3 linked regions of the Cricetulus griseus genome follow. The protein of the gene in region 1 interacts with the protein of each later gene in a pairwise test. Links are inferred from orthologs where the notes say so. Each region holds a gene or a part of one and is shown on either strand. Other genes may lie near its edges.

Region 1 (3,650 bases):
TTTTCTTACCAGCAGTACATGAGACTTCCCAGTTTCTCCACATCTTTGCCAAAGTTTAATGTGGCTTTACTTTTAAATTTAGCCCTGACGAAGAGAGAATAGTTGTACTTTCCAAGTGTACTTTCCTAATGGCACAGTATGTTGGAGCCTGTGCAAGGTGTTCCTTTTCCAAACCTGTGTCTTCTTTGCCTATTTTTCCATTGTGTGTTTTGTTCTCTTCTGAGTTTAGAAGTTTCTTTTTATGTTCTTATGCAAGTTGCGTTTTTTTGGTTTTTGTTTTGTTTTGATTTCATTTTTAGAAATATGTGTTACAAAAATTTGCCTGGTGTGTTCTAAATGATTTGAAGAAAAAAATCTTAAGTCCAGTTTAGCATGTTCTCTTACAGATTTTGCTTTTCATGTTGCATCTAAGAATTTTTATCTGCCACATGACAATAATTTTCTCCTGTTTTCTTTTCAGTTTTTATATTTTTAGTTTTACCTCCTAATCTAAAACTCTTACCTAGTTGGGGATAATTCTGTTGAAGTTTATTTTGAGTTTCTAGATAATGATTTGTTTTGGCATAGTGTGCTGGGAAGATTGGACATTTTCCTTCAGTTGTCCTTTTTGTCAGAAATCAGCTGTGTAATAAAACAATCGTGAGGGTGAAGAAGTTTGCTTTGTTTAATTCTGCAGTAGCATCAGCTTTAAACTGAAACCTTAACATTCTGAAAACTTTATCCCTTTATTTATCAGTATATTTTCTTGAAGAAACTAAGGCGCATTCTCTTCCATATCTTTCATTTTCATTGTTTACTATGACAGCTGAGGTAGGCCTTGCACTAATGTTCCTGCTTCAGCCTCCTAAGTGTTGGATTATGGTTGTAATCCTCCATGCCCCCCCTTTTTTTTTAATTGGGCAATAGCCTCAACCCTGGCTTTAAAATCCCAACAAAGGGCAACATTTTTCTGAGTTGCATGGAAAAATTTCTTGCATTGTAGTTATGTCTAAAAAATAAAGGGTCAGTGTGATTTTGTTAAATAGGTATGTTCTATGATTGGTTCCAGGTAGTTGATGTCACCTGGCGATACTCTTGTAAACATGATGAGGTGATATCCAGGAGAACCAAGGTTAAAGAGGAGTTACTCCGAGAAACCATTAATGAGCTTAACAAGCAGGTATGTGGTGGCTATCATTTTAAATAGGATATTTGAAATTTTATATATCATCAGGAATAGTCAGTTTTAACCCTTTACTTATTGAGACAAGGTTTCATGTAACCTTGTCCTCAAGTACTAGGCTAATATGGGCAACACCAGTGCCTAATTTTTAAATTTTTCTTTTATTCTTTGAGAATTTCATGCAGTATATTTTGATCATATTCACCATTCCACAACTGTTCCCAGATCCACTCTTCCTCCCTACCCACCCACCCAACTTCATATCCTTTTTTAAAATTTTTTGTGTAATTTGTGCTGCCCACATACTCTTGTGTATGAGACCTGGCCTGCCTGTAGCTTGGTCTGCCTACCCTTGTAGGTGTGTGTGCCTACTGTGTGTGTTTGCATAAAGGCCAGAGGTTAACATCAGGTATCCTTTCCTTGTCCCAATAGCTCCTTAGCTAGTAGCGGGTATGCCCACCTCCCTGCCTCCATGCTGGGATTTTGTCAAACTTGAGCTTGTGCAGCAGATCTTGTACATACTGTCACAACTACTGTGAGTTTTATATGTGCAATTGCCCTGCTGTGCCTTTGCTTATAGTCATTCATCCACAATTGGCTCTTATAATCTTTCTGTCTCCTTCTTCAATGATTCCCAAGGGTTGAATGGAGGGGTGTGCTATAGATGTCCTGTGGAGTGTTGAGAACTCTACAGTCTCTTATTCTCTACATGTTAACCCAATGCCATACCAAGGTTATATATGCATCATGGAACCCAGGGCCTTGTGGTCCTCAACAGTTTACTGATTGAGCTGTATGCTTTGCCCCCTGTCTTCCCCATTGAAATTTCTAAAGCAGTAACAACTTTCTAGCAAGACTACATTAATAAGCCAGTGTCTTTTTATTCATGGTAAATTTGGACAATTCATTGAAGTATTGTGGGGTGTTTATGTTAAATGTCACATTCCTTCTCAAAGTTCAGTGAAACAGAATTTCAATATTTAAACGAGAAGTATGTAGTTGTGGGCTGGTGAGATAGCTAAGTGGGTAAAGTGTTTCCTGCATAAACATGAGGATCTGAGTTCAGATTCCCAGAACCCATGTAAACTACAAATGTGATAGCTTGTACCTGTAACCCCAGAACTTAGCTTTCTGGCCGCTTAGTCTGGTTATGATAGTGAGATTCAGGTTCATTAGAGGTCCTGTCTCAAAAGTGAGATAGAAAAAGATAGAGGAGGATACCTGATGTTAACCTCTGGCCACTATGCATACACATAGTATGCACACATGCACACACACATACGCTACACCTGAACAGAAACACACATACCACACATATTCACATACCACATGTACACACACACCACACACGTACAGCACATACACATACATGCACACAGTATGTCATTGCTGGGCCTGTTGGAAAATGCTTGTAATCCTAGCAAGCTTAGCCATTGGGAGACTGGAGCAGGAGGATAGTGAATTCCAGGCTAACCTGAAATACATAATGTGACCCTGTCTGAAGACACAAAAACTGTCTTATTTAATTATCAGACTCTATCTTGAATATAACGATGCACTTGTACTTGTGTAGAAATGTATATGTAAATGTACCCACATGTTCTTGTATGAAAATTTCTGAAATAAGGTATGGAATGGTCATAGTGATTACCGAGGAAGCGAAGTACTAGGGGTTGAGCTAGTCCATCACAACCAGAAGAGAAGGTGCTATCTCCCATTTGAAAGCTGCAGTAATCCAGTTCATGAAGAGTTAAAAATAAAACACGGAGAGTTAAGTGTTCCATACTTTTGAATTTTCTAAAGAGTATGGAAGTAAAATTGATGCATCTTTCAAGATGTCTGAAAATATCAATGGTTTTATTTTGCTTAGAGGTGAACTTCTGTATTCCCCTAAACTCTGATTTTAAACATTAATTACAGAGGCAGCTAACATTGTCAGAAAACAGAAGAAAAGAACTTCTTCAGAGGATAATTGTGGAGCTTGTTGAATTTATATCTCCCAAAACCCCCCGACCTGGAGAACTTGGTGGAAGGGTGTCTGGGTCATTGGCTTGGAGAGTAGCCCGAGGTGAAATGGGTCTAGAGGTATGTGTTCTAGCCAAGTAATCTGACTTCCTGCTTGCTGTACTACATTCTTGGCTTTTAGAAAACCAAGTTGGCAAATGATCAGAATGATTTTCCTTCTGGGAGGTTTTGTGAGTGGGATATAGGAATAGATTTACAATACGAAACAAGATTAAAATCTCATTTTTCGCTTCCATTTAAAAGTAAAACTAGACACATTTCTTATAATATGCTCCCTTAGTTGTCAAGGCTTTCAATATCTTCTTTATGTAGTCTATAAGAATTCTTAGGTAGCTGTTCCTGTTAGCACTGACCTGTACCCCTAAATGTTGGGGAAGCTGAAACAAGAGAGTTGCAAGTTCAGTGTGGCCATGTAGTGAAACTTAATTAAAATGAAAAGGGAAAAGAAAGGTGAGCACTTACC
Region 2 (3,750 bases), on another chromosome or scaffold:
CTTTTAAAGAACTTTTGAGGACAGTTCACAATATTGCCAATTTCTCTAAATCAATCTCATAATATAATTTCACTTAGCTGTTTTTAAAACTCAAGAACATAAAACAAGCTCAAAAGTACTGCTTTAAAGTTTATCAGACATAAATTTCATCAAGTTCAGAGAAAAGAGCTAAAAAAAATGAGATAACATTTAATGCAAAATTACATATTGCAGATATGTAGCTGAATACCTTCTAAATAAAGTAAAAATATATTTGTCCTTGAAACAGAATTTAAAATATTAATCTGATTATTACAGGTTCCCCCCCCCACTTTTGCTATTTGGGGCAATAATTTAAAATTTTTCAGCCTGGCATAGTGGTACATGCCTTTAATCCCAGCTCTTGGGAAGCAGAAGCTGGAGGATACCTGTGATTTTTGAGGCCAGCCTGGTCTACACAGTGAGGGGACTGTCGGGGCTGTGTAGAGAGACTGATTCAAAAGACAAGCAAAACAAAAGAAATTTCCTTAATGCTCCCCACTGGCTATTCAGTCGGTATGATTTTTGATCTTTGGTCTCCCACCCACTTTACAATCAAACAAGCCCACTCCCTCACCAAGTAACTATTTGTGTATTATTACCTCAGAAGGAAAAGATGAATAAATAAATGAGGCAAACTTAGCCAGTCATTTTCCAGGGCTGCAACCTGAACCCAGGCAGGGTCTAATGCATGATCATGTTTTTTTAAATGAAAATATAATTCCACCATCTCCCCCTTCTTCCCTCCCATGTTCATACACCCCCTTGTTCTCACTCAGCTGGATCCAAGCCTTAACTTAGGCACTTACTGTGTAAGTTCGGTGGATTACTGAACATCGCTGAGTTTAGTTTTTATGTCTTTAAATGCCTACCAAAATTTAAAGACATAAATTTAATCAGTTGAAAGATTCATGTAAGTAAAGTACAGGCACGTCCATTTCATCACCACAAGGTCTTTTTTTTGTTTTGTTTTGTTTTGTTTTTCGAGACAGGGTTTCTCTGTGTAGCTTTGGAGCCTATCCTGGCACTTGCTCTGGAGACCAGGCTGGCCTTGAACTCACAGAGATGGGACTGCCTCTGCCTCCTGAGTGCTGGGATTAAAGGCGTGTGCCACCAACGCTTGTTGTCAGTGTCCCTGTTTTCACTATCTTCCAGCACAGTCATCTGTCACCCTTCACTACTTAACAGAGCTAGAGTCATTAGAGAGGAGGGCAACTCAATTGAGAAAATGCTTCCATAAGATGGAACATTTCCTTAAGTAGTGACTGTGGGTGGTGTCACCCCTGGCTTAGGGATCCTGGGTTCAATAAGAAAGCAGTCTAGGCAAGCCATCAGGAACAAGCCAGTTAAGCAGCACCCCTCTAAGGCTTGTCTCCAGGTCTCTGCTCTGCTTGAGTTCCTATCCAGACTTCCTTTGATGATGAAGAGTGATATGGAAGCCTATGACAAATAAAATCCTTTCCTCCCCAAGTTGCTCTGGTCATGGAGCTTCATCATAGCAATAGTAACCCAGACTAAGACAACAAGTTAAGTGGCTTCGGGGTCGCCTGTAACTACCAACCAATGCTCAATACCATTATAACTTTGCACTGATTTGGTCTATTAAAGCTAGTTTACAAGCCTGTTTCAAATCTGTGGATACCACACAACAGTATCCACTACTACTTATGGATTTGATGCCTTATTTATCTCCAAATTCTCCAAAGCTTGAGCAGAAAGTTATAACAGCAAGTGGTCAGTATGTCTGGTTAAAGAATGAAGATTAGGTATTAAAAATGTTCTGTCAAGGTTTGACAATTCAGGCTCATTTATTCTTACCTTTAACCCCTAACATACCCTAACATACGTTTAATTACTCAATTTTATCAGTGATCTCATGGGGAGATAGAACAATGCCTAAAATGAGCAAGTAGTGTTAGCATCTGATAAAACAGCATTTATTTAGGGGGCAAGTGTTCAGCTGACTAATGTCAATGTCACAATATACCGAGTTTTATTTCTGTTACATTGTTTCATGGATTACCTCTTATAAGTGGGCTGTAACCACGGACTGAACTGTTTTAAGCTCTCTCCTTAAAAAACCAGAGCTTTTTGATAAGGGGGGGGGACTGTTTTTAATGTGTAAGTCTTCAAATCTGAAAGCTCGTCCAAGAGAACAAATCAACATGCGTTATTTTTAAGTTACTTTTTAAGTGATGGCTGACTTATCACAGGCCATGGTAACTCTCCAGAAGGCAGGCAGCATCAACCGGGAGCCACCTAGATGGCCCCGCAAAATGACATTCCAAACAACTACTTGGTGCACCGTGCGTGGCGAAGGGGATCCAGGTGCTGGCGCCTGCCGCTCGGGCACCCGTTTCCACGCCCCCCACCCCGCAATGTGCCTCCGGGAGAGACCTTGGCTGGTAATCATTCTCCTCAGGCGAGGTACAGCGTGGCTGTGGCCCGCGCCCTCCTGCCCGCGCCGCGCTCCTGCCTCCGTACCTGTAAGTCCCGCGCACTCGGGGGCCGTGGCCTCGAGGACCCCCTCTCCTGCTCCTCAGGGTCCGCGCGGCCGCCCTCCGCCATCTTCCACCCTCTTTCGGCGCCCGCCCCGGACTCGCGACTTCCGGGATGGTTGCTTAGCGACCTGGGAGGGGCGGAGCCTCTCGGTGACCAGCCCCTCCGGGAGGGGGCGGAGCCGTGTCTTCTTACGTCAGTCCTCGCTCCTTTCCCGCACCAGGCTGCAGTCCTTCGCTTTGGGCTTCCGGTCCTGCCAACCTTCCAGTCTTTGTTTGCAGTCACTGCCACTTGCTGGGTTGTCCTAGAGCGCAGCGTTGACTTGCTGATTCGTTTAACTCAACAGCTTCACCTTGCAAGTCTTGGTCCAATCTCTCATTTTCCCTTATCAAGGATTGGATGGTACATCCCTCCGCGTGGAACCGTGTGGAGGAAGAGGAACACAGTGAAGCTTTTGGCAATGAAATGGTGACTCTTAAGCCGCGGGATTGACTGAGTTCTTTCCTGTCTTATCCTAGGCACTTACAACCTCTCAAGGATTTCCCAGGTAGAAAAAAGAAGTCCGGTCCTCTATGAAACTTAAAAGCTAGTGAGGGAAAGACATAAACAGGTAACAGAATAAATTTGTAAATAAGCTTTGCAAACAGTATTATGGAAGGCCTGTATGTGAATGGAGAATAATCCGTTGGTACCCGCTGTGTGCATCGTGCTGCCGTACCAGCTTACAGTGTGTTGCTTTGGCATGTTCTTAAAAAAAAAAAAAGGCAAATTTTACCATCTAGAGAAGTTGAAATGGAGAGGTCTATAACAGACCTCTTAGAATTAAACCCACATCCTAGCCAATTTTGCATGATGGCCGCTGGTATGAAAATATATCCACATAGGCCTTCAGGTTCGTATGAAGACACTAGTCACATGAAAAAATTTTTTCAATAAAATTTGTGCCTTTTTCTCCTGTGAATCTATTCGGTTTCATTCTCAGGCCCAGCTGAGACTCTGAGAGTAAAGGAAGACGTCTCCTCCTCCATTTTAATGTATTCCACATGTATTTGAGCAAAGCAAATGATAGTTAAATTCACCTTGTAACTAGCAGTACAAACTACCATACCTTGTAGTGCTGTCCTGATATTCTAAATACACATTCTGCCTTAAAGGGTCCCATTAGCCGGGTGTTGCTGGCGCACACCTTTGATCCCAGCACTCGGGAGGCAGAGGCAGGGGATCTCTGTGAAT
Region 3 (3,721 bases), on another chromosome or scaffold:
CATACAGCAATTATATGGGTGAGGTAGCATAAGCCTGCAAACCCAGTACTTGGGAGATGGAGGCAGGAGGATATTGAGTTTAAGGTCATCCTTGGTGCATAGGCAGTTGAGGCCAGAGTGCTGGGATTAAAGGTTCGAGCTTCTGTGCTCTGCTTTTCTGTTACATTTTAAAAACATTTTATTTCCAGACCGTGTGGCACATGCCTTTAATCCCAGGCAGGCAGATCTCTGTGAGTTCCAGCCTGGTCTACAGAGCGAGTGCCAGGATAGGCTCCAAAGCTACATAGAGAAACCCTGTCTCGAAAAACCAAAAACCAAAAAAAAAAAAAAAAAAAAAAAAAAAGGAGGTTGAGGAGGTTGTGAAGCACCTGTTGTGCTGAGACCCAAAGTCGGGTCCTCTATAAGGACAGCAAGCGCTCCTAACTGTGGAGCCATCATCTCCCCATCCACACAGCTTAGGTGTGCCCTTTGCAGTTTATATGCCAGGTTAGACTTAGAATTTTCCCTTTTGTATCCATTAGGTATGAGATGCTCCACCAAGGCAGGAGACTTTGCTGTCACATAGGAGTCTCCGGCGCCTCCAAGAGGTCTGGCACGAGGAAGCGTTAATGACAAGGATGGCGAGTGGCTATTAACAGCCCATGACAAAGCACAAACGCCACTCACCGTCTTATTGGGCACATCGGGAATGTTTGCCCAGTATTAGTCAGGCAATCAATGCACGAGCCGGCAGAGAGGTCGGCTTCCAGATGTGAGAAGCCCCGCCCCTGAGCGCCGTGAGCCAATGGGGGATGAGGAGGCGGACCAGAGAGAGCGGCAGCGCTGCCGTCCAGTAGGTGTCCTGTATTGCCTCACGGCCATCCAATGGGCGTGCCCCTCGGCGACGGTGGGAAGCGGCCCGGTGGCTGGGCCGTTGTTGGCGCGGGGCGGCCGAGGCGGCTGTGGCGGCGGCGTTCCCGCTGGGCTCCGAGGTGAACGTGGGCGGGGGGTGGGGCGAGGCGGGGCGGGTGGCGGCGGCCGAGGCCGAGGCTCGCGGCGGGGGGCGGAGGCGGAGGCCCGGCCCGCTCCAACCGCTCCGGCCCGCGGAGAGCAGAGCGGCCGCTCCCCGAGGCGCCGCCGTGGCGTGTGGCCCGGCCTGCCTCCGCCTCCCCGGGCCTCCCGCTCGCAGAGCCTTCCCCGCTGTCGACAGAGGTCCGTCGGTCCGTCCGCCCGGCAGCCCGCTTTGTCTGCGAGGTTTCACTTAGACACTCACCTTAGGTTACCTAGTTTCATTGCTTGTTTTCCAGGCTCTGCTACATTGGACTCTTTAATTCGTTAAATAGGCTCAGTTGCCAGGGTACCGAGAATGGCAGGTGACTTGACAGTGTCCAGATCAGCCTGGCCCCTTGTTAGCAGTCAGTACCTACATCTATTTTTGTGTCAAGGGAAGGAGTGATGTAAACATTGGCGCTGCAAGAGAAAGGGCTGGAGCGGATCGCCTTTGCCTGGCGTGCCCGGGTGGGAGGGCTTCAAATTTGACAGAGAAAAAACATGGTAGGCCCCATCTCAACTAAGTAGGTAGCGTCACAAGTCATCCTGTTCCTTTTTCCTTTTAATACGATGTACCAACATGAGCTCTCTGTTGCTTTTTTTTTTTTTTTTTTTTTTTTTTTTTTTTTTTTTTTTGGTTTTCTGAGACAAGGTTTCTCTGTGGCTTTGAGGGCTGCCATGGAACTAGCACTTGTAGACCAGGCTGGTCTCGAACTCACAGAGACCCAACAGCCTTTGCCTCCTGAGTGCTGGGATTAAAGACGTGAGCCACCACTGCCTGGCTTTTATTTTTTTAATAGGGTATAATGTATCCCAAGTTGGTTTTGAACTTAACTAACCATGTTGCCAAGAAGGTTTTGAATTTTTGATTTTTGTTGTTTTTTTTTTTTTGCCCCCATTTCCCTAGTGGTAAGATTACAGGCATGTACCATCATGCCCAGTTTTATGGCTGGTCAGGGAACACAGGGCCCTGTACCACCTGAGCCCCAGCCTAGGTTCCTCACGTCGATGTACCCCTGCCAAAAGTATAGCATGAGTTTAATCCCAAGAAAACATCAGACAAACCCAGACTGAAGGTTTTTCTACAAAATAACTAGCCAATAGCTAGTACTAACTAGCTGAATTAGCCGTGAGAGAGAAAAACTAGAGCACTTTGAAGTCAGAGTGAGGAGCAACATCTAAGTGCTTTATTTGTCCCAGGGCTGAAACTGAACCAGAAAAGGGGTTGGTGGCCTCACTGCCATCTGGATAAAGTCTGTAGATTAGTTAGTTATTTTTAAAGTTAATATTAGGATTTAAGAATGTTAACTTTTGCTGCAGTTGACTGAAGGGCATAAAGGAGGTCTTTGTATTGTAAGCTTTTTTGTAAGTATTTTTTAAGTTGGAAATTCAAGAAAAATGAGAAGGAATGCCCCAAGTTTTCATTCTCTTGCATGTCATCCCTAAAGCAGAAATGAAACAGAAAGTGATACCTCTTCCTTTGCATTTGTCAGGAAGAGCTAAGATGGCTGAGTTTGCAGATGACCAGGCTGCCCGGCTGTGTGACAACTGGTAAGACATGGAATCTGAAGGTCTGACATGAGGCCATGGCAGCTCTGTAAAGACTTGGGTATTTTATTTGCAGGTTGTGACCCTAAACGGTGTAAGTCATTGTAACTCAAGCCTTTTAACTATTTGGGTGAATGGTTTAGGACTTGACAGGGAAGTTTCTCTGGTGTACTAAAGATTGGAATGGATGGAGCTGGGACTTGGGGCTCTGTCCTGCCCTTAATGAATTTTGACTTAGCAAGATAGGACTTGGGCTGGAGAGATGGCTCAGTGGTTAGAGCACTGCCTGCTCTTGCAGAGGACCCAGGTTTGGTCTCCAGTGCCCAGTGGGTCACAACCATCTGAAACTCTAGTTTTAGGAGATCCAAAGGCCTCTGGCCTCTCTGGACACCGGGCACACATGTGTACAGACATGCATGCAGGTAAAGCAACCATAGATAGAATAAAAACAACAACAACAACAAAAAAAAACAACTTGAGAGCCGGGCAGTGGTGGCGCACACCTTTAATCCCAGCACTTGGGAGGCAGAGGCAGGCGGATTTCTGTGAGTTCGAGACCAGCCTGGTCTACAAGAGCTAGTTCCAGGACAGCCTCCAAAGCCACAGAGAAACCCTGTCTTGAAAAACAAAACAAAACAAAACAAAACAAAAAAAGTCGGGCGTTGGTGGCGCACGCCTTTAATCCCAGCACTCGGGAGGCAGAGGCAGGCGGATCTCTGTGAGTTCGAGGCCAGCCTGGTCTCCAGAGCGAGTGCCAGATAGGCTCCAAAGCTACACAGAGAAACCCTGTCTCGAAAAAACCAACACCCAAAAAAAAAAAAAAAAAAAAAACACTGGAGCTGAGTGGTACATGCCTTGATCCTAGCTCTCAGGAGGCAGAGGCAGCAAGATCTTTGTGAGTTCCAGGACAGCTTGGTCTACAGAGGCTTATACAGGTAGTCCCATCTCAAAAGAAAAGAAACAAACAAAAAACCCAAAAAGCCCATTGGATTCGTTTGGATCTTCACTCTTTTTGAAGGTGGGGAAAGGTAGAGGTTGGGATTGTGCACAGCCTTATGTTTGGTAGGCACACTCTATTATTGAGCCCCTACAGCGTTTATACACATATAAGAAGCCAACTGCTTTTTTATATGTCCCCAAAGTA

The links.
Region 2: the proteins of Ngly1 (region 1) and Ubxn2b interact in binary tests that used the Homo sapiens proteins (3 or more experiments, as listed by UniProt). The two-hybrid records come from large-scale screens. The link is inferred for Cricetulus griseus from reciprocal best matches to the Homo sapiens genes NGLY1 and UBXN2B.
Region 3: the proteins of Ngly1 (region 1) and Trafd1 interact in binary tests that used the Homo sapiens proteins (3 or more experiments, as listed by UniProt). The two-hybrid records come from large-scale screens. The link is inferred for Cricetulus griseus from reciprocal best matches to the Homo sapiens genes NGLY1 and TRAFD1.

Annotation. Positions count from the first base shown.
Region 1 is NW_023276807.1:173,767,180-173,770,829, forward strand, and holds part of Ngly1 (peptide-N(4)-(N-acetyl-beta-glucosaminyl)asparagine amidase), read left to right. Parts: intron 1-1,048; coding exon 1,049-1,159; intron 1,160-3,082; coding exon 3,083-3,247; intron 3,248-3,650. UniProt on the Homo sapiens protein: Specifically deglycosylates the denatured form of N-linked glycoproteins in the cytoplasm and assists their proteasome-mediated degradation. Cleaves the beta-aspartyl-glucosamine (GlcNAc) of the glycan and the amide side chain of Asn, converting Asn to Asp.
Region 2 is NC_048595.1:154,304,746-154,308,495, forward strand, and holds the start of Ubxn2b (UBX domain-containing protein 2B), read right to left. Parts: upstream 2,649-3,750; 5' UTR 2,587-2,648; coding exon 2,503-2,586; intron 1-2,502. UniProt on the Homo sapiens protein: Adapter protein required for Golgi and endoplasmic reticulum biogenesis. Involved in Golgi and endoplasmic reticulum maintenance during interphase and in their reassembly at the end of mitosis.
Region 3 is NC_048597.1:101,255,799-101,259,519, reverse strand, and holds the start of Trafd1 (TRAF-type zinc finger domain-containing protein 1), read left to right. Parts: upstream 1-834; 5' UTR 835-971; intron 972-1,166; exon of another isoform or gene 1,167-1,191; intron 1,192-2,522; 5' UTR 2,523-2,533; coding exon 2,534-2,580; intron 2,581-3,721. UniProt on the Homo sapiens protein: Negative feedback regulator that controls excessive innate immune responses. Regulates both Toll-like receptor 4 (TLR4) and DDX58/RIG1-like helicases (RLH) pathways.